Linked DNA regions of Notamacropus eugenii. The main gene of each other region encodes a partner of the protein of the gene in region 4 in a complex. Links are inferred from orthologs where the notes say so. Each region holds a gene or a part of one and is shown on either strand. Other genes may lie near its edges. The genes, in order: SNRPD3, SNRPF, SNW1 and DHX16.

Region 1 (6,883 bases), on a different chromosome or scaffold from region 4:
CCCAGAGAAAGGCCATGGCATCCAGGGACAGGCTCACCCCTGCTCCCCATTCTTCTCTTCAGGGTTTGACTCCGAGGGAGGAGGAAAGGAGGGAGGCAAAGGAAATGCCGCCAACAGGAAGGCAAAGATGAAAAGCTGATTTTGGCCAAGCTCCCCAAAGGGGCACCTAACCTGCCAGCCTTTTGTGAAGGGCTAGGAACCGCTGCCAGTGCACACAACTTGCCTAGGGCTGGGTGAAGTTTTTGATAAAGAATCTCATGCTAGTTTTGGGCAAAAGGTAGAGATGTGAACTTTTTGGTCACTCAGTCACTTCTGACTCTCCTTGATCCCACTTGGGGTTTTCTTGGCTGAGATGCTGGAACATTTGCCATTTCCTTCTTTAGCTCATTCAACAGATGAGGAAACCGAGGTAAACAGGATGAAGTGACCTGTCCAGGGTCGCTCAGCTAGTAAGTGTCTGAGGCCAGACTCAGGAAGTGGATTCTTCCTGGCTCCAGGCCCAGGTTCTGTTCTCAATGGTGCCATTAGTGGACCCACATGGACTAAAGAATACAATGAAATGAATTCAGAACTGGCTGATAGGTTGGTCAGTCATGGACCTTTGATGAAAATGTGGAAAGAGGTCTCCAGTGGAGTGCCCCAGGGATCTGACATCGATGGTCTGGACCAAGACACAGATGCCCAGTGGAGGACAGAAGGTGGGGAGGGGGCAGACAAGATGAAATAATAGCAGCATGGGTGGCGGGGTCTTAGGTTTGATAAGCTCCCCCGTGACCTCAGAGGCTCCTGACAGCCAGGAAGGGATTTGAGCTCCAAGGATGGCCTTAACAGGGTCTGGCGGAATGAGGACAAAAGTCATGGTCATGACAATGGCAGTGACAGAGAACAAGGGAGGGAGGGAGGGTCCTGGAAGGGCTAGCTCTGCCACAGAGGTTGCCCGGTGGGCAGACAAGGCTCAGTGACCCAAAGGGCCCAAAAGACAAGCAGCAAGATGAAGGGAAACCTTCCCAGTGAGTTTCTCTGATAAAGTGTCATTTCTAAGATGACATAGGGAGCATTGAGAACCCTTCTCCAATCGATAAATGGTCACTTTTCAATAGAAGAATCTAAGTCATTAAGAGCCATGTGAAGAAAGACTCTGAATCTCTGCTTATTGGAGAAATGCCAACCAGCCAGCGCCAAGGATCTGTCTCAGCCCCATCAGATGGGCAAAGCTGACCAAAGATGAGCCATGTGGGAGGGGTTGGAAGAATCTAGAGGCAGGAAACACTGGTATCACTCCTAGATATCTACCCCAAGGAGACCAAAGCAAGAGGAGAAATATCAATAATAGCTCTTCCTGTGGGAGCAGAGAATTGGAAACTGAGGCAAGGCCCATCAACCAGGAAATGTCTGGTCAATCTGGGCTGTAGCTATGATGGAGCAGTACTGAGCTATGAGAAACGAGGAAGGTAATAGGTCTGGGGAAGACTGGGGCAGAGAAGAGATCCAAGAACAACTACTATGATACCAGTGAGGTTCCTGGGAGCAGCAGTGCCCTGGGGGCATCAGGTACTCGGGGTGGGACTCAGCTGGGGCCTCGGGGTCAGGTCTGGGCAAGCTGGGGTGAGAAGGGCCTTGAGCTGCGGATCCACGGAGGGCTCAGGGCAGAGCTCTCAAGGCTGAGCTGGGAAGATAGGGCGGAATGGCACCAGAGCTGTCCGTGGGAGATGGGGGCTGTCGGCAGTGCCAGCTTTGCCACATGTGTGCTGAGGTGCCCAGGAGGGTGGGCTGAGGCTGTGAGCTGAGCCTGTCCCTTACTACCTGCGTGGCCTCGCTAAGCCTCAGTTTCCCCATGTGTAAAATCAGCATCAAGGCTACTCTTGGATAAACACTTTCCAACCACGGGAGTTAGAGCAGGGAGAGCATGGACACTGTCAAGGAGCGCACGCAGCAGGACCTGAAGCCCAGCCGCCACCCTCTCTCTGGGCCCTGGCAGGGATCAGACTCAGGGGTGCCCGGGGGCAGGGGAGGGGTCTCACCACTTCTCCACCAACACCTTGCAGGACGAGGCCCGGGCGAACAGCTGGTTGACCCGGCTCTCCTCGGCGTCGAAGTGTCTCCTGTAGAAGGACTGAGCGGAGAAGACGGCGTTTAGGCCGCGGTGGCCACTGACCTAGGCACGGCCCGGGCAGGGAGGGTAACAGCGCCAGCCTGGGATCCCCCTCTCCCCCCTGCACAGGCCCCCTTCCCAGCCGGGACAGCGGGGCTCCCCCACACCTGGTTCCGGTAGCCCTTGTCCACGCCCAGCGTCCGCGTGCAGAACCGGTGGCGCGCCCCGAAGTGGCGCATCAGGTAGGCCAGGTCGATGGTCCAGATGCTCCGGGTGAGCTGCAGCTCCTGCAGCGCCTGCTCGAAGGCAGCGTCGTCCTCCAGGAGCTTCAGGTACCTGGGGCGGGGGAGTGCGCGGGTGGGCCACTGGCCAATCATCGAGCTGAGGGAGGGACTGGGGCGGGCCCGGGCAGGGTAGCAGCCAATCCCCGAGCGGGGGAAGGGAGAAGACGCCAGGCAATTACCGAGCTCTGAGGGAAGGCTGGGGAAGGAGCAGAGGGGAGGCATCGGCCAATCACTGAGCTGAGGGCGGGGCACGGTGGACCATCGGCCAATCACCGAGCTCAGGGAGCGGGGGAAGGCGGGGCCTGAGGGGGGAGGAAAGAGATGGAGGCGCGGGTGGGTCACCGGCCAATCACAGTACTGGGGCGGGGCCGAGTGGGGCCGACTAATCCCCGAACTACGGGAGCGGGGAAAGAGACAGAAGACAGGGACCCGCAGGGGGTCAATTACCGAGCTCTGAAAGGACAGGGGAGGGGCCGAAGGGAACACCGACCAATCACCGAGTTGAGGGAGGGACTGGGGCGGGCCCGAGTGGTGCACCTCCCAAACCCCAAGCGCGGAAGGGGCGGGGACAGGGACGTGCCGGGTGGGCCAGCGGCCAATCCCGGAGGTCAGAGGAGGGGTCACCAGCCCGGGCCCCGCCTCACCTGAGCACCATCCTGGAGCAGGCCAGCCCGCAGTCCCAGTGGTACAGCTGCTGCACGATGGGCACCTTCAGTTGCACGAAGTCGCCTGGGACAGAGGACTAGCATCGGAGGAGGGCGGGGTTGGGGCCCTCCCCCCATGGTCCAGCAGTGACCCCGCCCCGCCCCTCCCAATGTGCTGGCTCCGCCCTGGGAGCCTTCGCCCCGGCCGAAGTTCAAATTCCGTCCCCGCCCTGGCCAGTCCTGGGGCTCCTCCGCCCTAGGGGACCCGGGCCTTTGGCCTCCGGATCTCCCGCAGAGTCCCAGGCTGGGCATCCAGGAGATGCTAATTCCGTGCCCCTCAGTCTTGGTCAGGGCGGGCTAGGACCCCGTACATGGACCCCTGGGCCGTGCCTCAGTATCCCCCGCTGGGAGACCGATCTAGGACCCCGTAAGCGGACTCCCTGGGCCGTGCCTCAGCCTCCCCAGCTGTCAGAACGGGCTGACTCCATAACCCTTCCCTTTCCCCCTGCCCGTGCCTCAGACTCCCCGGCTGCCCTCACCGGGCTCGGCCCCGGCTCCCTCGGCCTCTTCCCTCATGCCGCCTGCGGGCGGACGGGCCGGGGCTCGGGCTGTGGAGGCGCCTTGGCCATGGCCCCGGCCCGATCCGCTTCTGCCCGGGATCTCGGCCCCCGCCTCGGTTCCTCAACCCCTCTCCGGCCCCACCGCCGCCACGGCCGCTCCCGGGAGGACGCGAAATCTCTCACGGCGCATGCGCTAGCGCACGCACAGCGCGCCACCGACGCGGCACGCAAGGCGCAGAGGCCGAACCCAGGCCACGCCCCCATCCTCCATTTCCCGCCCCTTTCTCGAGCACGCGCCATGGGCCCCGCCCTCAGGCCCCGCCCCTGTAAGCCTCTAGAGTCTCTTCTCCCGCTCCCACCGGGCTGTCTAGGGGCGGAGCGATCCCCGGAAGTGCCCACCCCGCTTCCGGGCCCGGTGCATGCTGGGACCGCGAGACCCGCCATTCAGTTGCCGCTGTTTGTCGCACGTTCGCGCCGCCGGAACCGGAGCCGGGGCGGGGGCTGCAGGTGAGGCCTGGGCCGAGGGGTCCGCGCGACCCGGGGCGGGGGGAATGGGAACCGGGGGGGGGGGCGGGAACGGGGGGAGAGTAGCGCGTGGGCGAGGGGCTCTGGCTCGGCGTTCAAGGCCATGCCTCCCGCCCCCGCGCCTTTCTCTGGCAGGGCCTCCCTCAGCCTCCTCCAGGGATGCCCTGGGCCCCGGGAAGGAGGGCGCAGGGGGGGGTCTCCAGGCTGGGGGCGGAGCCCCATCCCCACTCCCTGTTTCCCCCAGCCCTGATTCGGAATTTGTCCCCCCCACCTGGACACCAGCGGCGGGGCGGCAGCCTGCCTCAGTGCCCCCCCCAGGCCTTCCTGCACCCGGAGCCCCTCCCCCCAAGTACACCTCCCAGCTGCGTGCCGAGCTCTAATAACAGCGCCCCCCATCTGCGAGGCGCTTACTCGGTGCAGCGCCGGACATTCAGTAGGTGCCGCCTAAATGCTTGTTCCTCCCCAGGGTAGGAGGAGGACCCCCATTGTCTTCTCCTTCACTCGGACCCGGGCCTGGCGCAGGGTTTCCGGGCTGTCGCTGCCCGGTTGGGTCCTGGGGGGCTGGGCTCCAGTGCCTCACGTGTCCCGCTGGGCCCCGCAGGTTCTCGCTGTCGCCAGAATGTCGATCGGTGTGCCCATCAAGGTCCTGCATGAGGCGGAGGGGCACATCGTCACCTGCGAGACCAACACCGGGGAGGTGTACCGGGGCAAGCTGATCGAGGCGGAGGACAACATGAACTGCCAGGTACGGCGTGGCGCCGAGCGCGGCGGCTGGGCACGGAGGGGCGGGGCAGCGCAGATATGGGGGGCAGGCGGGCACTGAGGCTGGCCGCTGGGCATGGAGGGGCCAGGCAGCGCAGACATGCGGGGCAGGCGGGCACCGAGGCTGGCCGCTGGGCATGGAGGGGCCAGGCAGCGCAGACATACGGGGCAGGCGGGCACCGAGGCTGGCCGCTGGGCACGGAGGAGCGGGGCAGCGCAGACATGGGGGTCAGGCGGGCACCGAGGCTGGCCGCTGGGCACGGAGGGGCCGGGCAGCGCAGACATGGAGGTCAGGCGGGCACCGAGCCTGGCTGCTGGGCACGGAGGGGCCGGATGGTGCAGACATGGGGGGCAGGCGGGCACCGAGGCTGGCCGCTGGGCACGGAGGGGCCGGATGGTGCAGACATGGGGGGCAGGCGGGCACCGAGGCTGGCCGCTGGGCACGGAGGGGCCGGATGGTGCAGACATGGGGGGCAGGCGGGCACCGAGGCTGGCCGCTGGGCACGGAGGGGCCAGGCAGCGCAGACATGGAGGTCAGGCAGGCACCGAGGCTGGCCGCTGGGCACAGAGGGGTCGGGCAGCGCAGACATGGGGGGCAGGTGGAGGCAGCCCGCTGGGCACGGAGGGGAGGGCCCCTACCCACCCCAGGTCACGTGTGGTCAGCAGCCCGGCTTAGGGTGCAGGGGCCGGGCAGCACAGACATGGGGGGCAGGTGGGCACCGAGGCTGGCTGCTGGACATGGAGGGGAGAGACCCTACCCACCCCAGGTCACGTGTGGTCAGCAGCCCGGCCTAGGCTGCAGGAACCAGAGGGGCTGGGCAGCACAGACATAGGAGTCAGGCCAGGTGCCAGGCTGGCAGCCTTGGCGGTTTCCCCGCTGGTAGTAATGACAGTAACAACTAATGACATTCATTTTGTGGCAGGTGTTAATTGTCTCCTTTGAGGTCCAGACAGGCCTGGGGCAGGCTCTGTTAGGATCCCAGTCTATGGTTGAGGAGCCTGGCCATTGCCCAGGGTCACCCACCCGGCGTCTGAGGCCTCCCAGTGGGAGGATGCAGGGAAGGCTTCCCAGAGAAGGAGGTCATAGAGGCTGGAGAGAAGCCTCATGGGAAGGCTGCCCTGAGGTTGCAGGGACGGGGCTGGATGGCCCGTGCTGGCAGGTGTGGAGGCTGGACAGCCGAGCTCAGAGCCAGCTGTCTTGGGGATAGAAGTGGAAGGGAGAGCTGGTGGGCAGGCAGGCACTCAGTAAGCATTTCTGTGCCGCACTCCAGGCAAAATCAGTGCTGGGGAGAAAAGGGCAGACCCTGCCCCTCCCCTGGGGAGCTCCCAGTCTGAGGGATGAGACAACAGGTAAGCAGCTCTGGATGATGGGGGAACCAGAACCAACCTAGGCTTCTTGGACAAGGTGGGATTCAACTCCCAGAGATGGGAGAAGAGAGGGTGTTGTAGGCATGAGGCAGCCATTGAATTCAAAGGCACGGAGGTGGGAAATGGAATGTTGTGACCTGGAGCAGAGAAAGTGTAAGGTACCAAGAAAGGCAGGAGACGTCTAATTATAAAGGCTTTGAAGGCCAGGCAGCATTTTGTGCTTGATCCTGAAGGTTATAGAGGAGGAGGGTGGGGGTGATATGCTCAGACCTGCGCTGGCTGAATGATGTCCTGGAGAGGAGACTGAGGCAGGCCATCCATCCAGGTGTGGAGCAGGGTGCCACCAAGGTGAAATGGTTGGGCTTTAGCACCATGTTGGATCTGAAGGGGTGCGAGGGAATAGGGAGCCCAGGGCCTCCTGGGAGGTGTGCCAGGGGCATGGCATGTCTGGCATGGCAGAGACTCAGAGGTGGAAGGGGCATCGCCTCCAGCTCCGCCCCTGTGACTTCCATTCTCAGTGTGAACACTTCTCCAGCTCTGACCTCTCTGTCCCCATCGCCAGTTAGCCGTGCTTCATTCCAGTTGGATGTCATGCCTCATAGGCATCCCCCGAGTCCTCCTCCCCGCTTCTTCCCCTATAGCCATGGA
Region 2 (7,150 bases), on a different chromosome or scaffold from region 4:
GAGGCAAGAAAAACAGCCTAACATTTGCTTTTTTATTATTTCTAAACCCACCAGTAAAATCCTACTCTGATGTCTCATGACATGGCTCTACAAAGTTATGAGTAGAATGCACATGCTGGCAGGTCCTACCGAGGTGGAAGTGACCTTTGTGACAGCAGCTGGAGCACAAGCCTCACCTAATTCAAAGAGGCTCATCTTCTGAAGGATGGAGACCAAGTGATAACTATGTAATGTAGATATCGAGGAGGGGGTAGGGAGCTTATGATGAAGCCTATGGATGGGGCTTTTCTCAGAAAAAATATTTTTAAATGCAGAAAATAAATTTTTCCTCAAAGAAAATTTAATCAAAGATAGATTTATTCTATCTCATTTAAGAAAAACATACTTTCTTAAAAAGCTAATTTCAATTGTTTTACTAAAATAATACTCTGAAGAAATGGTTATAAGTCCATCTCCAGTTACATTCTTCAGTATTACATCAACACATTTATTTAAACTGCAAAGCACACAAAGCACGGTTAAATTCTCTACAATACATTCAAATTCTGAATTCCAGTTTTCCTGACAATAATCTTTTATTTTCCTCTTAAGAAGTAAAGTCTTTTAACATTATTAGTTGCTTGTCTATTTAAAAACAAATGCTAAATGATTGTGAATCAAGGACCATTTAGATCACCGAAAATCCTAAGTATTAAGTAATCAATCCAAAGGGCAGTGAGAGGGCATATAGAGTGACTTTACTACCAACATACCTGGCAAATGTTATACCACAAGCTGGCTCCTCTCAATTGTGGTTGTTCATTCCTTTCAGTTGTGTCTGACTCTTCCATGACCCCATTTGGGGTTTTCTTAGCAAAGATACTGGAGTGGTTTGCCATTTCCTCCTCCACTTCATTTTGCAGATGAGGAAACTTGAGGCAAATAGGGTTAAATGACTTTCCCAGGGTCACACAACTAGTAAGTGTCTGAGACTGAATTTGAACTTGGGTCTTCCTGGCTCCTGGCTTCACTCCACTGCACCACCTAGTTGCCCTCTTTACTTCAAGTAAATTAAGACTCCGAAGCCTGAAGCTTAGGAGAGGAATTAAGGTATCAATTATTAAAAGGACATGACTTTTCACTGAAATCCTGGACAAGGCTCCAAGTCTCAGAAAGCAAGTAAAGTGAGGCCCACCCCACTCGAGTTTAGCTTACCTGCATGTTCATGTAGCCATCCACAGACACCAGGTAACCTTTATACTCCATTCCCCACTTAAGCTTCACCATCACTGGCTTCCCTGTCAGTCCATTCAGGAATGGTTTGGGGTTGAGGGGTAAACTCTGTACAGAGATGAGGTGATAAAGGCAAGACATTAGTCAAGATGGAGCTTTCACAGGATCTCAAGTAAGGGAAGGAACATGAGGGTTCATTTAGTCCAATATTCTTACTTGACAGAGAAGCCCAGAGCCCACTCCTCGTACTTTCCTAAATCACCCTATATTACATTCAGCCTTTCCTAGTACCCAAACTATTGAGTCCTGCTATGGTTAACCTCTTTCATTTTTGATTCACAGAGATGGGATGAAATAGATAAATTCACATTCGTTTATTCAACAGTTCCAGATTCCTCCTTCTCTACCAAGCCCCCAGAATGGGAGTTAGAAGCTTTAGAAAGAGTAAAGTCCACCCCTCCTCCTTCTAAAAGGAGGAAATCAAAGCCCAGGTGGCACGTTTGAGGGGAAGCACTGTCTTTGGCCTCTTTGTATCCCCAGTGCTTGGCACCGGCACCTGGTCTGGAGCTGGCACTTAAACGCTGGCCCAAGTGCCCCCAGCTAACACTGGGACGGAGCAGGGACTTGAACCCTGCATCTCTAAGGCCAAAGCTATTTCTCCTACACTATGATAACCAACAGTCACCTCCCCACCACAAGGCACTGCTGGAAGCCACTGGTGAAGGAAAACTCAGATACGTTTACTTTTTTTGGGGGAAGGGAAATAATAAAATATAATAATCATTATACGTATATAAAATAATTATGTATATAAAATACGATAATTATAATAAAATATAATAAGATGGCCAAACTACAGAAAAAAGAGGAAAAAGGTGCCTTTTTTTGGCAGGTGAGGGAAACTGAGGCTCAGGAGCTATAAGAGGATAACTCGGAGTTTAAAGGGGGCACAAATTGGAGCCAGGAGCTGACCAGAGTGATTCCCTGATCTTCGATTATTATTATTAAATATAACAGCAGTGAACCTGTATCACAGACGGCCTCTGAGGCCCCTTCTGGATCCCAACCTGTGCCTAGGGCTGTGTTTCTGGGGCCTCAGTTTCCCCGGCTGTAAAGGGGTTGGCCCATCCGACCAGGGAAGTTTGCCCAAGGCCTCAGTTTCCCGGGCTGTAAAGTGAGGAGGTGGGCCCAGACGGCCGCAGCCCCGCGGCTCCAAGCTCTCTCCCCCTGGCTTAAGTTCTAGGAGTCCACGGAAAGTTCCCTTCTGGCCCCGCCTCCTTTCCCCCCGCCCCCCTTTAAATGGCCCCTTCCAGGAGGCTTTAAAGCGCAGGACTCGGGCGAAACCAACTGGGGTCGAGGGGGAATGTAGGAGGGAAAAATAGCAGGCTCGCGAGCCGCTCCTCTCGCGAGACCGGAGGTGGGGGGGGACAGGGAAGAAAGGGACGAGCCAGGCCGCTCCCGCCCCCCACAGCAAATGAATGGGCAAGGCGGGAAGCGAGAACCCGTGCGGACGCTCTTCACGCCGCTACCAGGCCGCCACGGCTCCCGCCGCTGCCGCCGCCGCTGCCGCCGCCCCCTTACCATCGTCACCACCGAAGAGCGCCACGGGCCGTCCGCCGCCGCCGGTTCTCCTGCGCCCACGTGAAGCGAGCCACCGCCGCCCCTACCTCCGCCTCCCTCTAGCCGGCAAGCGTACGGAAGGCAGGGAAATGGCCGCCAGCCGGGAAGGTGAACTTTCACCCCTCACCCCGGCTTCCTTGTCATAGCTCTCCTCCCCCGCTCTCCTCCTCCCGGGCCTCTCGGATTGGACGGAAGCAGGTGGGTGGGGCTTGGAGGCGGGGCGGGGCGGAGCCGAGCAGGAGAGGCTCGTGCCGGGGTTGCTCAGTGCGCATGCGGACTCCTCCCGCGCCTGCGCCGCACGCGTCCAACAGTCGGAGATTTTAAAAAACCTTTTTCCCCAAAGTGCCTCAGTTATTTCTTTGCCCTTGAGCGTGTTCTTGTTCCCTAATCCTGACCGGACGCTGCCTCTGCTGACGGGACAGTGCGCCAGAAGCGGCCTCCCCGGAGGAGGGGGGTGGCGGCTGTAGGTATCGCGACCCCGGGGCCTCGTTCGCCTCCCCCGGGGGCCTGGCTTCGCTCCTTCCGTCTCCGCGAGGTTGTAGGGTGCCCCTCGGGAGCACGGGACGCGTGGCCGGGAAGGCCCTGCTCGGCCGGGGCAAGTCGCCTCGGGTCCCGGAGCCTCATTTCCTAATCTCAAATATATATATATACGTATATCTACACATGTGTATACATGTGTGTATATGTGTATATATGTATGTATATGTGTATACAATGTGTATACAAGTATGTACATGTGTATACATGTATGTATATGTGTATACATGTGTGTACATGCGTGTATATGTATGTATATGTGTATACACTGTGTGTACATGTATGTACATGTGTATGTATGTATATGTGTATACATGTGTGTACATGCGTATATATGTATGTATATGTGTATACACTGTGTGTACATGTATGTACATGTGTATATATGTATGTATATGTGTATACATGTGCGTACATGCGTATATATGTGTGTACACTGTGTGTACATGTATGTACATGCGTATACATGTATGTATATGTGTATACATGTGTGTACATGCGTATATATGTATGTATATGTGTACACACTGTGTGTACATGTATGTACATGTGTATATAATGTATGTATATGTGTATACATGTGTGTACATGCGTATATATGTGTGTACACTGTGTGTACATGTATGTACATGTGTATATATGTATGTATATGTGTATACATGTGTGTACATGCGTATATATGTGTGTACACTGTGTGTACATGTATGTACATGTGTGTATATGTATGTATATGTGTATACATGTGTGTACATGCGTGTATATGTGTATACACTGTGTGTACATGTATGTACATGTGTATATATGTATGTATATGTGTATACATGTGTGCACATGTGTATATATGTATGTATATGTGTATACATGCGTATATATGTGTACACTGTGTGTACATGTATGTACATGTGTATATATGTATGTATATGTGTGTACATGCGTATATATGTATGTATATGTGTATACACTGTGTGTACATGTATGTACATGCGTATATATGTATGTATATGTGTATACACTGTGTGTACATGTATGTACATGTGTATATATGTATGTATATGTGTATACATGCGTGTACATGCGTGTATATGCATGTATATGTGTGCACACTGTGTGTACATGTATGTACATGTGTATGTATGTATATGTGTATACATGTGTGTACATGCGTATATATGTATGTATATGTGTATACACTGTGTGTACATGTATGTACATGTGTATATATGTATGTATATGTGTATACATGTGCGTACATGCGTATATATGTGTGTACACTGTGTGTACATGTATGTACATGCGTATACATGTATGTATATGTGTATACATGTGTGTACATGCATATATATGTATGTATATGTGTACACACTGTGTGTACATGTATGTACATGTGTATATAATGTATGTATATGTGTATACATGTGTGTACATGCGTATATATGTATGTGTATGTGTATACACTGTGTGTACATGTATGTACATGTGTATATATGTATATGTGTATACATGTGTGTACATGCGTATATATGTGTGTACACTGTGTGTACATGTATGTACATGTGTATATATGTATGTATATGTGTATACATGTGTGTACATGCGTATATATGTGTATATGTGTATACACTGTGTGTACATGTATGTACATGCGTATATATGTATGTATATGTGTATACACTGTGTGTACATGTATGTACATGCGTATATATGTATGTATATGTGTATACACTGTGTGTACATGTATGTACATGTGTATATATGTATGTATATGTGCATACATGCGTGTACATGCGTGTATATGCATGTATATGTGTGCACACTGTGTGTACATGTATGTACATGCGTATATATGTATGTATATGTGTATACACTGTGTGTACATGTATGTACATGTGTATATATGTATGTATATGTGTATACATGCGTGTACATGCGTGTATATGCATGTATATGTGTGCACACTGTGTGTACATGTATGTACATGTGTATATATGTATGTATATGTGTGTACATGCGTATATATGTATGTATATATGTATACACTGTGTGTACATGTATGTACATGTGTATATATGTATGTATATGTGTGTACATGTGTATATGTGTATGTATATGTGTATACATGTGTGTACATGCGTATATATGTATGTATATGTGTATACAATGCGTATACATGTATGTACATGTGTATATATGTATGTATATGTGTATACACTGTGTATACATGTATGTACATGTGTATATATGTATGTATATGTGTATACATGTGTGTACATGTGTATATATGTATGTATATGTGTATACTCTGTGTATACATGTATGTACATGTGTGTATATGTATGTGTATGTGTACATGTGTATATATGTATGTATATGTGTATACAATGTGTATACATGTATGTACATGTGTATATATGTATGTACATGTGTATATATGTATGTGTATGCGTATGTGTACATGTGTATATATGTATGTATGTGTGTATACAATGTGTATACATGTATGTACATGTGTATATATGTATGTATATGTGTGTACATGTGTATATGTGTATGTATATGTGTATACAATGTGTATACATGTATGTACATGTGTATATGTATGTATATGTGTATACATGTGTGTATATGTGTATATATGTATGTATATGTGTATACAATGTGTATACATGTATGTACATGTGTATATATGTATGTATATGTGTATGCACGTGTGTATATGTGTATATATGTATGTGTGTATACATGTGTATACATGTATGTATATGTGTATATATGCGTGTATATGTGTGTATACATGTGTATATGTGTGTATATACACGTATATACATGGGAGGTTGGGGCCCGGAGGACACGGCCGAATGTAAATCGAGGCTCCCATCCTGCTGCCCCTTCGTCGGTGATTGGAGAAGCATAGCTTGGAGGAGAATCTAGACCAGCCTGCCCTTCGCTGTCATGTTTCCAAATACGTAATTGCAGTATATCTATGTCGGATAGTATGTTGGGAATATTATTTGGCTTGATTATGTTGAAATATAATTTATTGAATTGTAAACCCAAATTAGTGAATTCTCACAACAACCCTCCAAAACATTATTTTCCCCGTTTTACAGAGGAGAAAATTGAGGCAAACAGGTTAAGTGACTTGCGTAGTAAGCGTCTGAGGCTGGGTGAGGCCTAGCTTGTCATCCTACCTCACCACTTAACCCTTCCTTAAGCTCCCTATTACATCCAGGAGCGGATCTCCTTGAAATTAAAACTTAAGCTTTGATAGCTTAAAACTGCAAAACAGACATTTGGAATATTCTGTATAATCTGTGGCGTTTTAGGCTCTTAGTAGTCTGACCGCCCCTAACTCTTTTACTTCAGTCCGTATGCTGTACAATGATACTTGATAGATGGAGTCAGCAGAGCAGGCATTCCTTAAGCACATGCTATGTGGCAGGTGCTTGGGCTAGGCAAAAAGCAGTTCCTCTTATCAAGGATCTGACAGCCTAGTAGGGCAGACAACATAAAAACAACTGTACAAAGATGGATGTGGAATACGTTGGATATCATCAACAGAGAGAAGACACTAGTATTAAGGAGGATAGGGAAAGGTTTCTTGAAAATAGGTGGGATTTTAGCAGGGAATTGAAGGAAGTTGGGGAAGCCAAGAGTTGGAGAAGAAGGTAGGATGAATTCCAGGCATGGGGAGGGGGGGAGCAGGTGGGAGCAAACAGTGGAATTGCTTGAGACAGGTGGAGTGTCATGGGGATCTAATTTGTAGAAAGGAGTAAGGTGTAAG
Region 3 (7,848 bases), on a different chromosome or scaffold from region 4:
TATTATTATTGCAGTAACATGCCTGATCATGTTACTCTCCTGCTTAAGAAACTCCAGGGGCTCCCTATTGTCTCTAAAATCAAACTCAAATGCTTCTGTTTGGCATTTAAAATCTTTTACAGTCTGCCTTCAGCCTGTATATCCAGATTGATTTCACATTACTCTCTCTTGCAAACTTAACATCCTGGCCAAACTCCAACACTTCAGCCATTTCCCATACTCAACCTGAATTTCCTCATCTGAAAAATATGTGGGCAAAAATAAGCACCTACTTCACAGGGTTGTTGTGAGGATCAAATGAGATAATATATGAGGTATCTTTTGCTTTTGTGCCTTTATGTAAGATGGCATCCATGACTAGAATATAGTCCCTTGTCATTTGCCTCTCTTAGAATGTTTGGCTTTCTCTGAGTCTCAGCTCAAGTGCCATCCCGTATAACAGAGCTTTTTAAATTGTGACTCCATATGGGGTTATGTGGCTAAATGTGGGGGTCACAAAATATCTGGCAAAAGTAAAAGGTTTCTGAATGCACAATGACCCAAAACTAACTCAAAATCAAATGAATGTGAGGCGTTTCTGCCAGCGCTTGTCCATGTTGCATTACACTACTTCCCTGCTGCCTTGGTTCTGAACACACAATATGCATACTTTGCACTGCTCATGTGCATACCATCACTCCACACAATGCCAACGAATATCGCCAAGAACAACTCAGCTCATATTGGAGACTATTGTATGTTATGAACTGAAGTTGTTGTTTTGTTTTGTTTTTACCATACGTACCAAATCATTAAGTGAATTTTGGCTTAGGATAAGGACAGAATTTCCAACAATTTCTGAATGGCCCTAAACATACTTCTGCCATTTTGTACTATGTATTTATGTGAAGTGGTGTTCTCAGCATTGACAATTATAAAATCAAAATATCAAACATCTCTGAAAAACACTGAAGATGTTCTATGTCCAACAGTATCAAATATTCTGCCAAGATTTAATTCTTTATGTAAAAATAAACAGGCACATCCATCTCATTAGTATGTAAATTTGCTTTTCATTTTAGTAAATGGTAAAATTATATGTATACCAAAGAATTGTTATAAAATAAATTTCTTTATGATTTATTATTAATCAATGTTTTATTTGTATCCCTATTTTATATACCTACATGCTCAGAGTTGCATAAAAATTTCTCATGTGCAAAGGGATCAGGAGTAGAAAAAGTTGAAGAAGTCCTGCCCTACACAAGGTCCTTGCTGGTGTCCCTATCCCATAGAATAAATAACTTTATTTTGATTAATCTGTGCATATACTATTTTCCTCTAGTATAATGTATGCTCTTTAAAGACTTGGACTATTTAATTTAGCTTAGCTTAGCACTTAGTACAGTACTTAGCACCTAGTAAACACCGTATACTGTTGATTTGTGTCTTTAGAACCTATTGATATTAATAAGCCTTTTCTGAAAACTCTAGCCCATGTTGATCCCTTGCTGTTGTGAGCTCTCATTTACAGTATTAGTTATTGTTATTACTATTATGGTAGGAAAACCAGAACTTAACTCTTCATTGTTACCACAATTTGTTTCATCTCCTTATCATCAGTTGTCACTAAGAACAAAAGTTCATTAGGGCCCACATTAGACCGTGAGATCCTTGAGAGCAGGGGACTGTTTCTTTTCTGTCTTTGTTTACCCCCGAAATGAGCAGCTTCTGCCACAGTAGGTACTGAATAAAATGCTTGTGGATCTACTGTCTTACTATGTGGTGCTGTCCTCGGTACTGAAGTATTTGTTGTTCTTTGAAGGGCATCCAACAGTTCCTCCAGTATTAAAATATTTCCCCCAAGTCCTGCAGCAGCGCCTTCAATTGTATTATTAGAGATAAGTATTCCTTTGATTCCAAAAAGTATAAAAGCAGCTAGCATTTTTATAGCTCTTTATGGTTTGTATCATAAAGATGATCTCATCCTTACAATAACCCTGAAATGTAGGTGCTATTATTACCCCCGGTTTACAGATGAGGAAATTGAGGTAGAAAGTTCATTGACTTGTCCAAGGTCACACAACTAGTAAGCGTCAGATAACGACTTTGAACTCTGATCTCTCTTGACTCCAGGTCCAACGTTTTGCCCAATGAGTCCCCTAGGTTCCTCTAAAAACATCAATTCCATTAGCTGACAGGTTCCTTAGACCAAAGACCTTGTTAAACTGCTCTGAAAAAGTATCCCACACCAAATAGCGAGACTTCACAATTTGGCTTAGGGCAGGCCTTGAACGTCACACAATGTGGGTGACCTCATGGCGTACGTTCAATTGAAGCGTTAAAGAGAGCTGAATCCGCCCTTGCTCTATTCGCCCACGGTTTCGCCCCGCCCCCTCCCCGCCCTTCGCTCAAAGTACTACAAATCCCAAGAGGCCTTTCGTTAAAGGTGCGTGCGCAGTGCTCTCGCCTTTTCTTCTCCGCCTTCCCCCTAACCCTTTCAGTTGCCTAGCAAACCCCTCCCAGCTGAGCTGCCGCGAGCGCTGAAAGCAGCGGAAGAAGATGGCGCTTACCAGGTGGGTTTTGAGGTCTGTGGGGGAGGAGGGGGTCTGCGTTACGGAAGAGATTCAGTTCGCTTTTGCCTTTTATTCCTCGGCTTCCACACTCTGGGAGGGTGCCGGTCAGGGGAGTAGCGATGCTTTGGGGTAAAGCTGTGGGCCAGGACTTCCCGTTAGCGGCCGAGTCGACCAGGCCTCCCCGGAAGCCGGGGCCTTTCCTGAACACCTACCCCGAGCGCTGGCCGCCCCTAGTCGTGGCTGCCGACATCGGCGTGGCTCACGCTTCCCTGCCCCTGCGCGTTCGAGGATTGCCTTAGTTGTTCTCGTTTCCGAGGGCGAGGGAGTGAAGAGGCCTTCCCTCCTGTGGAGGGAGGTGGAGGTGGGGAATCTGGAGGGAGGTGGAGGTGGGGAATCGGGGCTGGCATGTGGGGACCAGGAAGGGGACGGTGGTTACCGGTGGTGGGAAGGAGCTGGAAGCTGAGGCGGGCTTCCAGCCGCTGTCTGCTCCCTTATCGGTTGGACCTTCTCGGAAAACAGAAGAGTGCCTCCGCCTGGCGAGCTCTGAATTGGGGGTGAGGGGACTCATGGCCAGTCCAGTGGAAGAGAACTACCCCCCCCAGGCAGATCTGAGTCCTGCCGCTTCCCGATGTGGTGGGAGCTGCGTGTGAAGGCGGCCCCCGATTGCCAGCGAATGATCGTTAGTACGTAGTGAGCAAAAAAAAAAAAAATTACGTAGCTGAGACTAATTCCTGAAACAGGTGCTTAGTAAGCGGAAACAATTTTCCTTAAAAACACACACCGGCAAGAGAAGAGGAAACTCGAGGAGAGACTGCGGAAAGTCAAGCCATAAAGGTTTATTGTGTTCCAGGTACTCCGCCAAGCCCTGAGAATACCAAAGAAACCAAGGAGGCCCCTAATCTAGCGTCATCGGTATCCCCAGCTCCTGCCCCTTTCCTGCTGTTCCTACTTAACTCATCATTCCGAACGGACCATAACAGTGAAGCTTGGGAAAAAAACGAGTTACATGGTGTGGTCTGTAGAAAGGGCAATTGAAGAGGCGAACTCTGGTTTACAAGCCTCTTTTACTCTTGACCAAATGTAGGCATACAAAGCAATTGAAGTGTAATAGAATGCTGACTTTTGTGGGCAGGGAGGGAGAAGTACCAAAGGAGTTAGAAGATAGGTAAGGAAAGGCTTCACTGAGGAAGTAGGACCTGAGCTAGATATTGTGGAAAGGGTGGTGTGTGTATAAACACACATAGGCACCCATATGTATACATTTATGTACATATTCATACAAGGGAGATGCCCAGTAGTAACAATATCAGTATTGGCTTAATTTTAAGGTAGGCCGGTGGTTCTTATGTTTTCATTGAATTCGTTTTTGCTAACTTTATGAAGCCTGCAAAGTGGAAATCTTAAACTGTTTAAAATTGAAACTGTTCCCCTAGGAATTGGTTTTCCTCTATCTTTTAAGCATTTTACTTCTTGACTCTGTTCAATTGAATTTTCCAAAGGGTTAAACAGCATGCCCATAGGACTTCTTGTGGATAGTTCCAGTAGAAATTTTTGGGGGAAGTCTGACCTAAGTTCTTTTGATCCATACTATATTAGCATGCAGAAACAAGAGTTGGACTCTTTCTGTCAAAGATAGAATTGCTTTTCTAATGCTAACAGTATGTTTAAGGCAGTGATTGACTTTTCTTTTTATTCTTGGTTGACCAGTATTTTGCGGGACTCATTAAGCCTTTTGTACAGTGAATGTCAAAGGTTTTGTTCCATGTGCTATAATTCATTTTCAGTATAAATACACTGGATCTTTTTGCTTAATAACTTAACATTTATTATGATCAATACACTGGAAGTATAGTCAAAAACAATTCAAGTTGGCACTACTTCAGTTTCTTAAACGTTAATAGCTTTTTTCAGAAAATCAACCTTTTTGTTGTTACTTAAGATTATATATATTCTTGAATTGAACAGGATAAAAAAAGGATTCTTAAATGTACTTTTTTTTTTTTCTCTTAACTGCTACATGCCTATTCCCTATCCTTTTCTTTCTTTGAGGTTTCGACTTCTCTTCCCTGTTTCTACTTGTCCTTCAATATTGGTACTGTAATGATTAAAAGGGAACAAAAAGAAAATCAGTATTCTGGGCAATCATTCTCTGAATGACTGAGGATTTACTCTTAGGTTACAAGAGATTGAAAAACATAGTATAATAGCTATTGTGAGGTATACAGAGACAGTCCTGGTCGTAGAACTCATCTCATTTGCCTTTAGTCAGATATTCTTGATCCCATGAATGAGTACTTCATTATTACCTGGAATACAAAATGACTGGTATTGGCATTTCTACAGATCAGTAGAGATTCTCCCTTTTCATGAAATTAGCCAGAAAAATTTTATTCTCATTATTGATTTGAATGACATAAAGTGTTTTTGTTTGTATTCTAACTTTTCTCCTTATCCTTTTTTATAGCTTTTTACCTGCTCCAACTCAGCTGTCTCAGGACCAACTTGAGGCTGAGGAAAGGGCAAGATCACAGAGATCAAGGCAGACTGCACTGGTCTCATCAAGAAGAGAACCTCCTCCTTATGGTTATCGGAAAGGTTGGATACCTCGTTTGTTAGAGGTAAATATTAGCCTTCATTTTGGATTTATTAAATTGATCAGGGTTGCTGTAGAATTAATGAGTAAGTCTAAACCATGGAGTTTTCTAGCATCTACTTCAGTACTGTTTTGAAATATAGTTGTCTAAAGTAAACTAATTATTAGTATTATTATTAGTAAACTAATAGTGTTTTACCCTTTGAAAAGTGCTGATGAATAGGGAAATAGTCAAGAAGTAGGATGCTTAAAAGATAGAGAAAACAAACCAAACAACCAATTCTTAGGGAAATAGGAGTCCCTAACCCTTCTCACAAAAGGTATGAGCTTGAGTAATGGCAGGAATTAATTTCGTCACAGGTCCAAAATCCTTTGTACGTGCAAAAAAATCTTTATAGTTTTGGTAGGGTAGAGAAGTAGCTCTGGAAGATACTGCAAGTGTTAGGGAAAAACTGGAGTTAGAGTTTATAAGATATTGGAGAGAGACAGGACATTGGAGCCAATCTAGTCCAACCCCCTCATTGCAAAAATAAGGAAATTGAGGTACAAAGGGCATTGTCCATCAGTGGAAAGCAGGTCTGAGCTTAATTCTCTCATCTGTAAAATGGGGGGTGATAATGTTTACAGATTATAGATTATGTGGAGAACACCATGTAAATCTTATAGTGTTACATGTAAACATTAATTCTTATTCAGGAATCTTTGACATGTTGTTTTTAAAAATTGTCTCCATATGACCTGATGCTGAGTGAAAGGAGCAGAACCAGGAGAACTTTATGCACAGCAACAACCACAGTGTGTGAGAGCTTTTTCTGGTAGACTTAGATTTTTGTAATAACACAAGAACTTCCGAAAAAAAAAAAAAAATCCCAATGGTGGACCTCAAGGCAAAATGCCTTCCACACTCAGAGAGAGAAATATGGAAGTCACTCACATAATGTAGCAGATCATGTTTGTGTATGTGTATCTGTTTGTGTATCATGTTCTGATTTGTTATACGGATTCTTTCATTTATCTTAGTCTGACTACATAGCATGACTATAGTGAAAATATACTCAATAGGAAAGTATATGTAGAATCTATACAGAATTGTATGCAGTCGTGGGGAGGGAGGGAGGTAGTGGGGGGTGGGTGGGGAGGGATAAAATCGCAATTGTATGGCAGTGATTGTTAAACATTAAAAAAATAAAAAAATTAAAAAAAAAAAATAAAAAAAATAAAAAATAAAAATTGTCTCCTTCCAGTGGAATAAGCCCCTTGAAGGCAACATTGTTTTTAATTTTGTCTTTGTATCACTAGTCTTAGCATAATTTTTTCAACATAGTAGGCACTTAATATATGATTGTTGAATTGTTGGTGTGAATACTCCCCATATTGTGCCCATTGCCTCGTTTCTTTGACTCAGTATTCAGTCTTTGAAAGCTGATGAATTTCTGTTTAGAATATCTTGTGACCAGTCTGCTGGTGGAACTCTTTAGACTTAACTTGACTGCTTGTCAGACAATACACATATTCTGAATTACCTTTCTAGTTCTTGGAGTTATCAGTTCTTTGCCACTACAAAAAGAGCTGTTACAAGTATTTTTGTATGTATGGGTTCTTTTACTCTTTCTTTGATCTCTTAGGAGTATAGACTTCCAGTAGTGGTATATGACTGAGTCAAAGGGTATGTATTGCTTAATAAATTTTGAGACATAGTGCCAGATGACCTTTGCACAACAAGTGGACCAGTTCACAGCTCCATGACTAGTAGATTAATATATGTTTTTTTCACAGCTCCTTTAGTATTGAGCTCCTTTATCATTTTACATTTTTTATCAATTTAGCCAGTCTGATGGATGCAATGGGTGTGGAACCTCACAGTTCCTTTAATTTGTATTCTGTAATTATTAGTTATCTGGAGCCTTTTTTTCACATGGCTGTTAATAGCATTGATTTCTTCCTCTGAAAACTGCCTATTGATATCATTTGGCCATTGATCAATTGGAGCCCTTATTCTAATAAATTTTAATTAGTTCTTTATATAGCTTGGAAATGAAACCATTACCAAAAAAAATGCTGCAAAGATTCACCCCCCCACCCCAGCTCCCAGTTACCTACTTCTCTAATTTTAGCCACATTTGTTTGGTTTGTACAGAAACTTTTCTTATTTTATATAATAAGGATTTTCCATGTTTGGTTCCTTGTTTGGTCATGAGTTCTTCCCCTATTCATAAGTGTAAATAGTAATCATTGCTCCTCTAATTTGTTTATGATGTCACCATTTCTTTCTGAGTCATGTATCCATTTGGGGCTTATCTTGGTTTTAGTGTTAAATTGTGGTTTATACTTTTCATGTCTCCCAGACCACTTTCTGTTCTCCCCAGAAGTTTTTGTTGAATAGTGAATTCTTATCTTAATAACCTGGTCTTTGAGTTTATCTAAAACTGGGCTTCTTCAGCAAGTAAAATGTAAAATCATGTAAAATTAGGGAGTGTAGCCTTCTTGCATTTCAGATTTCATGTAGTTAAAAAGGAATTGATAATTAACTTCATGGCGTAGTTGAATTTTTAAAAATCTTATTTTAATAGCTAAGATTTCTTAAAGCTAGGTAGAGCAGAATAGGTTTTGAAAAGTCAAACTAAATTGGCCTGTTAATCTGAAAATGCCATGGGCACTTTTCCAGAAGAGTGAATGTTTGGAGAAAAAAGCATCTGGTTC
Region 4 (7,623 bases):
TTCCAACTGGGAAGGCAGAACTCCTTCCCACTCCTGAGTGTTGAAGATCAATCTTCCATCCTTCCTAGAAGCTGCTGTGCTGACAGACCCCATAAAATGAGCTGTCAGGAAGGAGAAATCCCATGGACTTCCTTCACCTCACCTTCTTTGTGCTGTGTCGGGAGAGGGGAAGGGGGAAGAACCCATCTGACCTCTAATTCATGATCTTAGGTTCAGACTGTTGTACAATGTGTTCTAGACATTTTCAGCGAAAGGAGAGAGCCTTTGGCTCTCTGGGAGTCAAAGAATCCAAATCCCCTAAGGAAGGGGGCAAAGCCTACTGAGTCATGAGAAGGTAGAATTTTCCTTCCTTCTGAATAGCACTCTATCCATTGCTAACCCCACCGTGCCAACACCCCACCCTGCCCCAAGGTTGGTAAGTGCAGGCCACTCTGCCTTGAGAAGTTCTGCCCTCATTCCTTCTGTTTGTTTACAGGTGCATCCATCCCCTCTGGGGGTTAAAGATGTACTTTTTTTCTGCCTGGGTCTCCACCCACTTATGTTTACAGCTTCCACTTTGCCAAGTCTCACTCAGCCAAAGTTCCAGGTTTACAGATCACACCTGCCATGGTTATGTTACCACAACTCAACCAGTGGGCGGTCCTCTCACTTGCCTTCTACTGTTTGGAGCTTGGCTTTCTTCTTGAATGTCTAGCCTCCCTAACCCTGCCTTGTTCAGTATTATTTGGGTCTTCCAAAAGGAGGAGGGGTGACCTCAATCTTTCCCTCCCTTGTAGCAGTTAATTCTTATGTTTCTTCCAGTGACCCAGAATTAAACTGAAGGGAACACAGGAGGGTCCTAATGAGGTCCTACCTTACATCTCCTTGTCTATGGCCTTTTTTTCCTTCTTTAATTTTCTGTAATAAAATGGAGGCCTCTCTGGCTACATCTTTAATTCTTCCAATGAGAAGTCTATGGGGTGGGAAGCATGAATTTGACCAGATTTTCATGCTCTAGGGGAAGGGAAGGGCATTCCCTGTTCTAGGGAACAGATTGAACTCTCTTTAGCTTTGTTGGTTGTAAGCAGAAGAAGAGACTTCAGTGCAGGGGGAACAGCTTTGGGGGAAAAAAAAATCAAGTGAGAAGAGCTGAAAAGATGGAGAAGTGGACCTGATACCCTCACAAATAGCTAAGAAAATCTCCCTCCTTAGGGTGTGTAGCCCATAGAAGGGAGGTAGGGAGTTCTATTGTAGCTGGCTCCAAAAGGAATTCATTGTAGGCCCGGTAGGGCCCTTAGAGTTCATCTAGTCCAATTATCTTCATTTTATGAACAAAGAAATTCAGTCAACAAACATATATTAAGCACCTACTTGTGTGCCAGGTACTGTGCTGAGCACTGGTGATACAAAGAAAGTCAAAAACCAGTTCCTGCTCTCAAGGAAAGATTTAATAAGATCCAAAGACAACATGTAAACAACTATGCACAAACAATACAGATACAGGATAAATGGAAGATAGTCAGCTGAAGGAAGGCACTAGAATTAAGGAGGATTGGAAAAGGCTTCTCAGAGAAGGGGGAATTTTTTCTGGATCTTGAAGGAAACCAGGATGACCAGGAGACAGAGATGAGAGAAAGAATGCCAGGAGTTCAGGCAGCTCTTGAAAATGCCCAGAATCAAGAGATGGGTTCCATCCAAAGTATTGCTGGATTGCAGAGTAAGGTATAAAAAGACCAGAAAGGCAGGAGAAGGCCGGAAGATTAAGGGCTTTGTAGACCAAAGAATTTCATATTTGATCCTAGAGGTAATAGGGAACCATTGGAGTTTGTTGAGTGAAAGAAAAGGGTTATCTGGTCAGATGTGTGCATTAAGGAAGATCAGTTTGACAGTTGAGTAGAGGATGGATTGGAGTGGGGAGAGACGCGGCAGGGAGACTAATCAGGAGGTTACTTCAATATTTCAGGTGTGAGGTGATAAGGCAAGATAGTGGCAGTGTCAGAATAGAGAACAAGATGACGGATAGTTCGATTTTTACAAAAAGGAGAAAGAACAGAATTTGGTGACAGATTGGATGGGGAGGGCAGTGAGAGTGAGGAGTTAAGGATGATACATAGGCTACAAGCCCTGAGTAGTTAGAGGATTGCAGTGGACAATAATAGGAAAGATAGGAAGAGAAGAGGTCTTGGAGGGAAAAATAATGAGTTTGGTTTTGGATATGTTGAATTTAAGATGTCTGCAGAACATCCATCTGAAGACAGGAGATTAGAGGCCAGGAGAGAGGTGAGGAGCTAGGTAAGTAGATCTAAGAGTCATCAATTGAGAGGTAATTGAATCCTTGGAATCACTAAGTGAAATAGTATAAAGGGAAAGGAGAAGAGGGCACACTTTAGGGACACCCAAGGCTAATGGGCATCACTCAAATGAATGAATAAAACATTTATTAAGAACTTGCTGTGTGCAAAGTACTGTGCTAAGCACTGGGGGATATACATAGAAAAGTAAGACAGTCCCTACTCTTAACCAAGGAGCTCACATTATAATAGAGATAACATATTGGAAAGGTTTCATGATCTTCAGGGTGCAGAGGCAAAGCAGATTATGTCCTTTCCACTGATAAAATCATTGGTTTCTGATAATGAACCATTTTACAGTGTCAAGGGCTTTGGTAGCAAGAATCCTGGGTCTTCCAGGACTACATTGGGTCCAGTTAGCTGTGGCTGTAACGCCTGTAAGAGCAGTTGTCAGGCTGCATCTACACAGGGTTTGCTTCCTAGGACGATGACTGAAGGCACTGAGGTTGGAAGCATTGCTATTCCCAAGACTCAGGTTCAGGATCATGACCTGTGCCCATAGGTTCCGAAAGGAGATAGTGGTCAAGGTTGTAATGATAATCTGACTTGCCAGACACATGCTGCCTTCTGGCTCTCTCTCTAGGTATCTTGTGTGTGGCAGTTGGTTGGCAGTTTCTGGGGATGGCTGGCTCTTTCACCAGAGGAGTTACCTCTCTAGATGATGACTGTAATGGCCAGGCCTGAAACAGGACCAGTGATCTAAGACCTGTTGCCACTTCTAGGGCCCATCTGACTATTGGTGGCAGTTGGATAGGAAGGTGGGCTTCTTCTCCACAATGATTCCTCCCCTCAATGAATCCAGAAAAGTAAGCTAAGAAGAAGCATTCACACTGGGAGAAGAACCAGGAAAGAATATTGTCATAAAAACTTAAAGAGGAAAGAGTATTTTTTTTTAAGAGAGTGATCTATAGTGTCAAAGGCTGCAAAGAGATCAAGAAATATGAGGACTGAGAAAAGGTCACTATATTTGGCAATTAGGACATCATTGGTAGTTTTGGTTAAATGATGAAGATGGGAGCTAAACTATACAGTTAAGACAGGAAAGAAGGTAGAGGCACCCATTGTAGACAACCTCAAGGAGGGTAGCCACAAAAAAGGGGGGAAAGATGAAGGACAATTATGAGGATAGATGGATCAAATGAGGATGGGGTTAACAAGGACACGTTGTTAGGAAGTAGGGAAGCAGCTAGTAGGTAAAAAGTGACTAAAGATTAACAACATGGGCAGCTAGGTGACCTAGTGAGTACAGCACTGGCTCTGGAGTCAGGAAGACCTGAGTTCAAATCCAGCCTCAGACACTTGACACACTTACTGGCTGTGTAACTTTGGGCAACTCATGTAACCTCAATTGCTTGGACACCCCCCCCACCCCCACCCCCACTCCCCCCCAAAAAATAACAAGAGAATAGGGAAGATAGTCTGCAAGAGAAGAGAATGTTCTTGTATGTTGCAATTTGCCATGGCAAGAAGTACTATCTGTGAGACAGAGGTGAAGGATCATTCTATCCGAATGATCTTAGGAGAACGAGCTCTCCATGAACAGTCTCAATTTTTTCAATGAAATATGAGTTAATGTTCTCAGTTGAATGAATAAGGGAGGGAGTCACAGGAATTTTGAGGAGGGATGAAAAGGTTTGGGAAAGCTATTGAAGCTGAAGTCCTGAGAAGCTGTAACTTCCCCAAGGTTATGTGCAGATAGAAAGCAACAGTATCAACTTCATGAGCTGGAATATCAGAAACTACTGTTTCCATTATTTCAAATATTCAGGCACACACTGCTACCCAAGCAATCAGTTGTGCAAGATATAATGTTTGTAGCTCTAATCTCTTTTAAGACCTTACAGTCTGGTCTCTAATTGAGAGATTTCCCCTCTACCAGTGGACAAGGCAGTTGACATAATAGTGAGTGTCTCGGTGATTTTCCAGTTCTCGGGCATCTCTATATATCTTCCACAAATGCCCACTGTACTATTCCCAAAGCCCTGATATTGAGAAAATCCCATCCTTCCTTCAAACTTCATCCAGGAGGCGCTTCCCCCAGCACAGAGAGAGCAGGCAGTCACTTAACCCTTCCACCTCTCCCCAGATCCTGGTTCCCGGCCTTTCCTTGCTGCGAAGTCCTCCTAGACATCTAACTTCTATCCTTCATGCTCCTCTTCTTGGCAGGTGAAGCCTGGCGAAGCCTGTAACGCCGCCCGCTACACATGCAATAAGACCTCCACTCCTGTAGGGGGAAGCCAAAAAAAGAAACGGGGTAGGAATTCAAACCGGAAGTTTTTCTTGTCCTCGGCCTCCCGAAAGGTCCCTTTTCGTATCGCCATTTTCCTGCCTGCTTGGCTGGCGGTACGGCCCGGAAGTGGTGGGTGCCGGGGCTACGGGCTTTGCGCCTCGGGGCCCTGAGGGGCCCTCGCTCTGCCTCCCTTCCGAGCGCACGCGCCCGGGCCGCGGCCTTTGCCGGGACCATTGCCGTGGCCGCGGGGCCCCGCTGGGGCCGAGCGCCGGAAGTCGGGGCCGGCTGACGCGCCCAAGTCCCCATGGCGACCCCGGCCAGACTGGAGCGCTGGGTGCAGGACGAGCTGCACGCCGTGCTGGGCCTGAGCGAGCGGCACGTCGCGCAGTTCCTCATCGGCACGGCGAAGCGCTGTGCTACGGCCGACGAGTTCGTGGAGCGGCTGCGGGACACCGGCACCTTAGACCTCAGCGGGCCGGCCCGGGACTTTGCTCTGAGGCTCTGGGCCAAGGTGCTTCCGGGAACGCGGAGGGAGCCCCCGGAGGCCGGGGAGACAAGCCCGGGGAGGTGGGGGCGGGGCCGGATGTCCTCCTCTGGGAGACGAGGGAAGTCCGTCCGTGGCCACCACGTCTCTCGGTGGCGCGGAGGTTAGCGGCTGTGAATAGTGACGAACCTGCGCGCCATAAATGCCCACGGGCACCGACGGCATGTGGTGTCCTCCTGCAGATGAAACTGGTGAAAGGGCGCAGGAGGGGCCCCAAAGTGCAGCACACGTCGGGCTGGCATCAGCGGGGCTCACGAGGGGGCATTACAGGGTTTACGTGGTCTACTTGTGGGATAAGACACCAGTAGATCTGCATGCAGCGGGTGGGATGGTTCCATCAGGTTGTCGTTGCGTGTGGCCTTAGTTTTCCAAGAGGACCATGACATGACATGATGACATGACTTTGATTTGAGTGAGGGAGAGCTGTGCAGGGTCACCAACCTCACTTGAGAGAGAAGCAAGACAAAATGTCATGGGAAATTCAAGGGGAAAGACCATTAAGGATCCAGGGATCAAAAAAAAAGGGCTTCATCCTCTCATTCCTCACCTGAACTGCTCCTCAACACACACAACTGGGGAAGCTGTTGTTTTCATTGAGTATATCCTAGTGCTAGCTCTGATCATAGGAATACATGTAGGAAGAGATCACAGTCACCACGTGTGCTAAACTAGGAGGATTCAGAGAGGCAAAAGACAGCCCCTATTCTCAGGGAGCTCACAGTTTAATGGGAGAGACAGCTGGTTTGTGGAGGTTACAAGGGGAAATAAAATGGATGTGTGGAAACTGAGGAGTTATAGGAAAGGGATAGATGATGAAAGATGTGAAGCAAGTGCTCTAGGGTACTGAGATAGGCAAATGGAGCTAGCAGCTGATAACCTTTTGTCATCCCTTCCTTTCCTAGGTCCCACGGAAGGCAGTTGTAGAAAGGCCAGGCCGGGTGGCAGAGCGTGAGGCTTTGGCTCTGCTAGAGAAGAATCGTTCATACCAGCTTCTGGAGGAAAGTGAAGAGAGCGATCGGGAGATCCAGAGCCTAGTGAGAAGTGGGTCCCAAAAAAAGAGCAAGAAACGGAAACATCTTAGGAAGAAGACCCATGAAGAGGAGGAAGAAGAGCAGGACTCTGAGGGAGACAAGAAGAGGACAAAGTGAGTATCTTGACAACAAAAAGTTCCCCAAGGGGAGTGGAATTTGGGTAGGAGAGCCAATAATTATGAGTCAGAGTATGATTAGACTCTGTTTCTCTCTTACTTTACCTAAACTGGGGCTGATCTGCAGGGTGAATGAGAGCAGCAAAGAGCAAAAGCCAGAGTCAGAAGATGAGTGGGAACGAACTGAGAGGGAGCGGCTTCAGGACCTGGAGGAACGGGATGCTTTTGCTGAACGTGTGCGAAAGCGGGACAAGGAGAGAACACGAAATATTTTGGAGCGGTCAGACAAGAAGGTGCATAATTGTTGGTGTGTCTCATAACAATTTATGTAGATACTCGAAAGAGAGTGGCAGCCAAGGAAGGCCCCTCTGTAGTTTTATACTCCTGATATCATTGTCAGATTTGTGACCCCACAGATGATAGTCCTTATGAAGGGAACTGGATCCTTGTAGCCCCATGTTTGTTGTTATTCTGGCAAGTATGACTATGGAGAGTACAGTCTTTTTTTTTTTTTTTTTGAGTACAGAGTCTCTTAAGCATCATTTTAGCATCTGCATTCATAGACAATTCTCCCCATAAGGTACTATGACCTCTAATCTGTCTTCATGATCCTTATGATTCTGTAGAAGTGGGGGTGGGAGCCTGGTTCCTTAACTACCTCCTTATTTCTCCTTTTAGGCATATGAGGAGGCCCAGAAGCGCCTTAAGATGGCTGAAGAAGACCAGAAAGCAATGGTAAGTCATATCCCCCATAACCTCTCTTGTGAGCCAAGATTAGATGCCTGGAAAAGATCCCCTGTGTGTTATAATGGAAAGAGTTTCGAGTCAGAGGACTTGATTTTGGTTAAACTCCATTCTACTGCTTCTGTCTATGTGATCTTGGGCAAGTGTCTTAGCCATTTGAGGCCTCCTCTAACTCATTTGTAAAATGAGTTGGCTGAACTAGATGATCTATATGGACCCTTCTACTTCTGCATCTCATGTTCTTATCAGTTGTCAGGTTCTTGAGACAGGTTGTAGTTGAGGTTTGGATTATATGTAGACACTACTGCAAGAGGTACAAAGGATAACCATGAGAAAGACTGCTTGCACGTGAAAAGTATGTTCAAGCTTGCTGCAAACCCTCCGTGGTTGGTTCTTCAAGGACCAAGTTATACATCGTATTAACAGGGGGATAAACTTCTTTTGGAGATTGTTTCCTTGTGTCATTGATGAATGTGCAACTGAAAGTTAGCTCAGAAGGAAAAGGAATGACTGGGTAGATGTCAGGATGCACTGGCTTTGGGGTCCTCTGCCTAGTCATCCAGCTTGGGGAAACAGGTCTTTATAGTTCTTGTGTGATATAGTAGAAAAAGCACTAGATTCTAAGTTG

Evidence for each region.
Region 1: DHX16 (region 4) and SNRPD3 share a complex: the UniProt entries of both Homo sapiens proteins name them as parts of the minor spliceosome. The link is inferred for Notamacropus eugenii from reciprocal best matches to the Homo sapiens genes DHX16 and SNRPD3.
Region 2: DHX16 (region 4) and SNRPF share a complex: the UniProt entries of both Homo sapiens proteins name them as parts of the minor spliceosome. The link is inferred for Notamacropus eugenii from reciprocal best matches to the Homo sapiens genes DHX16 and SNRPF.
Region 3: DHX16 (region 4) and SNW1 share a complex: the UniProt entries of both Homo sapiens proteins name them as parts of the minor spliceosome. The link is inferred for Notamacropus eugenii from reciprocal best matches to the Homo sapiens genes DHX16 and SNW1.

Annotation. Positions count from the first base shown.
Region 1 is NC_092875.1:1,748,920-1,755,802, forward strand, and holds the start of SNRPD3 (small nuclear ribonucleoprotein Sm D3), read left to right. Parts: upstream 1-3,880; 5' UTR 3,881-4,087; intron 4,088-4,706; 5' UTR 4,707-4,724; coding exon 4,725-4,850; intron 4,851-6,883. Other genes in the region: protein GUCD1, read right to left, coding at 2,022-2,113, 2,260-2,428, 3,021-3,105, 3,560-3,596. UniProt on the Homo sapiens protein: Plays a role in pre-mRNA splicing as a core component of the spliceosomal U1, U2, U4 and U5 small nuclear ribonucleoproteins (snRNPs), the building blocks of the spliceosome.
Region 2 is NC_092874.1:278,477,617-278,484,766, reverse strand, and holds the start of SNRPF (small nuclear ribonucleoprotein F), read right to left. Parts: upstream 3,014-7,150; 5' UTR 2,797-3,013; coding exon 2,794-2,796; intron 1,321-2,793; coding exon 1,195-1,320; intron 1-1,194. UniProt on the Homo sapiens protein: Plays a role in pre-mRNA splicing as a core component of the spliceosomal U1, U2, U4 and U5 small nuclear ribonucleoproteins (snRNPs), the building blocks of the spliceosome.
Region 3 is NC_092878.1:61,529,963-61,537,810, reverse strand, and holds the start of SNW1 (SNW domain-containing protein 1), read left to right. Parts: upstream 1-4,827; 5' UTR 4,828-4,842; coding exon 4,843-4,880; intron 4,881-5,019; coding exon 5,020-5,173; intron 5,174-7,848. UniProt on the Homo sapiens protein: Involved in pre-mRNA splicing as component of the spliceosome. As a component of the minor spliceosome, involved in the splicing of U12-type introns in pre-mRNAs.
Region 4 is NC_092873.1:84,542,448-84,550,070, reverse strand, and holds the start of DHX16 (pre-mRNA-splicing factor ATP-dependent RNA helicase DHX16), read left to right. Parts: upstream 1-4,601; 5' UTR 4,602-4,864; coding exon 4,865-5,071; intron 5,072-5,079; exon of another isoform or gene 5,080-5,286; coding exon of another isoform or gene 5,287-5,295; intron 5,296-6,006; coding exon 6,007-6,248; intron 6,249-6,378; coding exon 6,379-6,544; intron 6,545-6,929; coding exon 6,930-6,986; intron 6,987-7,623. UniProt on the Homo sapiens protein: Required for pre-mRNA splicing as a component of the spliceosome. Contributes to pre-mRNA splicing after spliceosome formation and prior to the first transesterification reaction.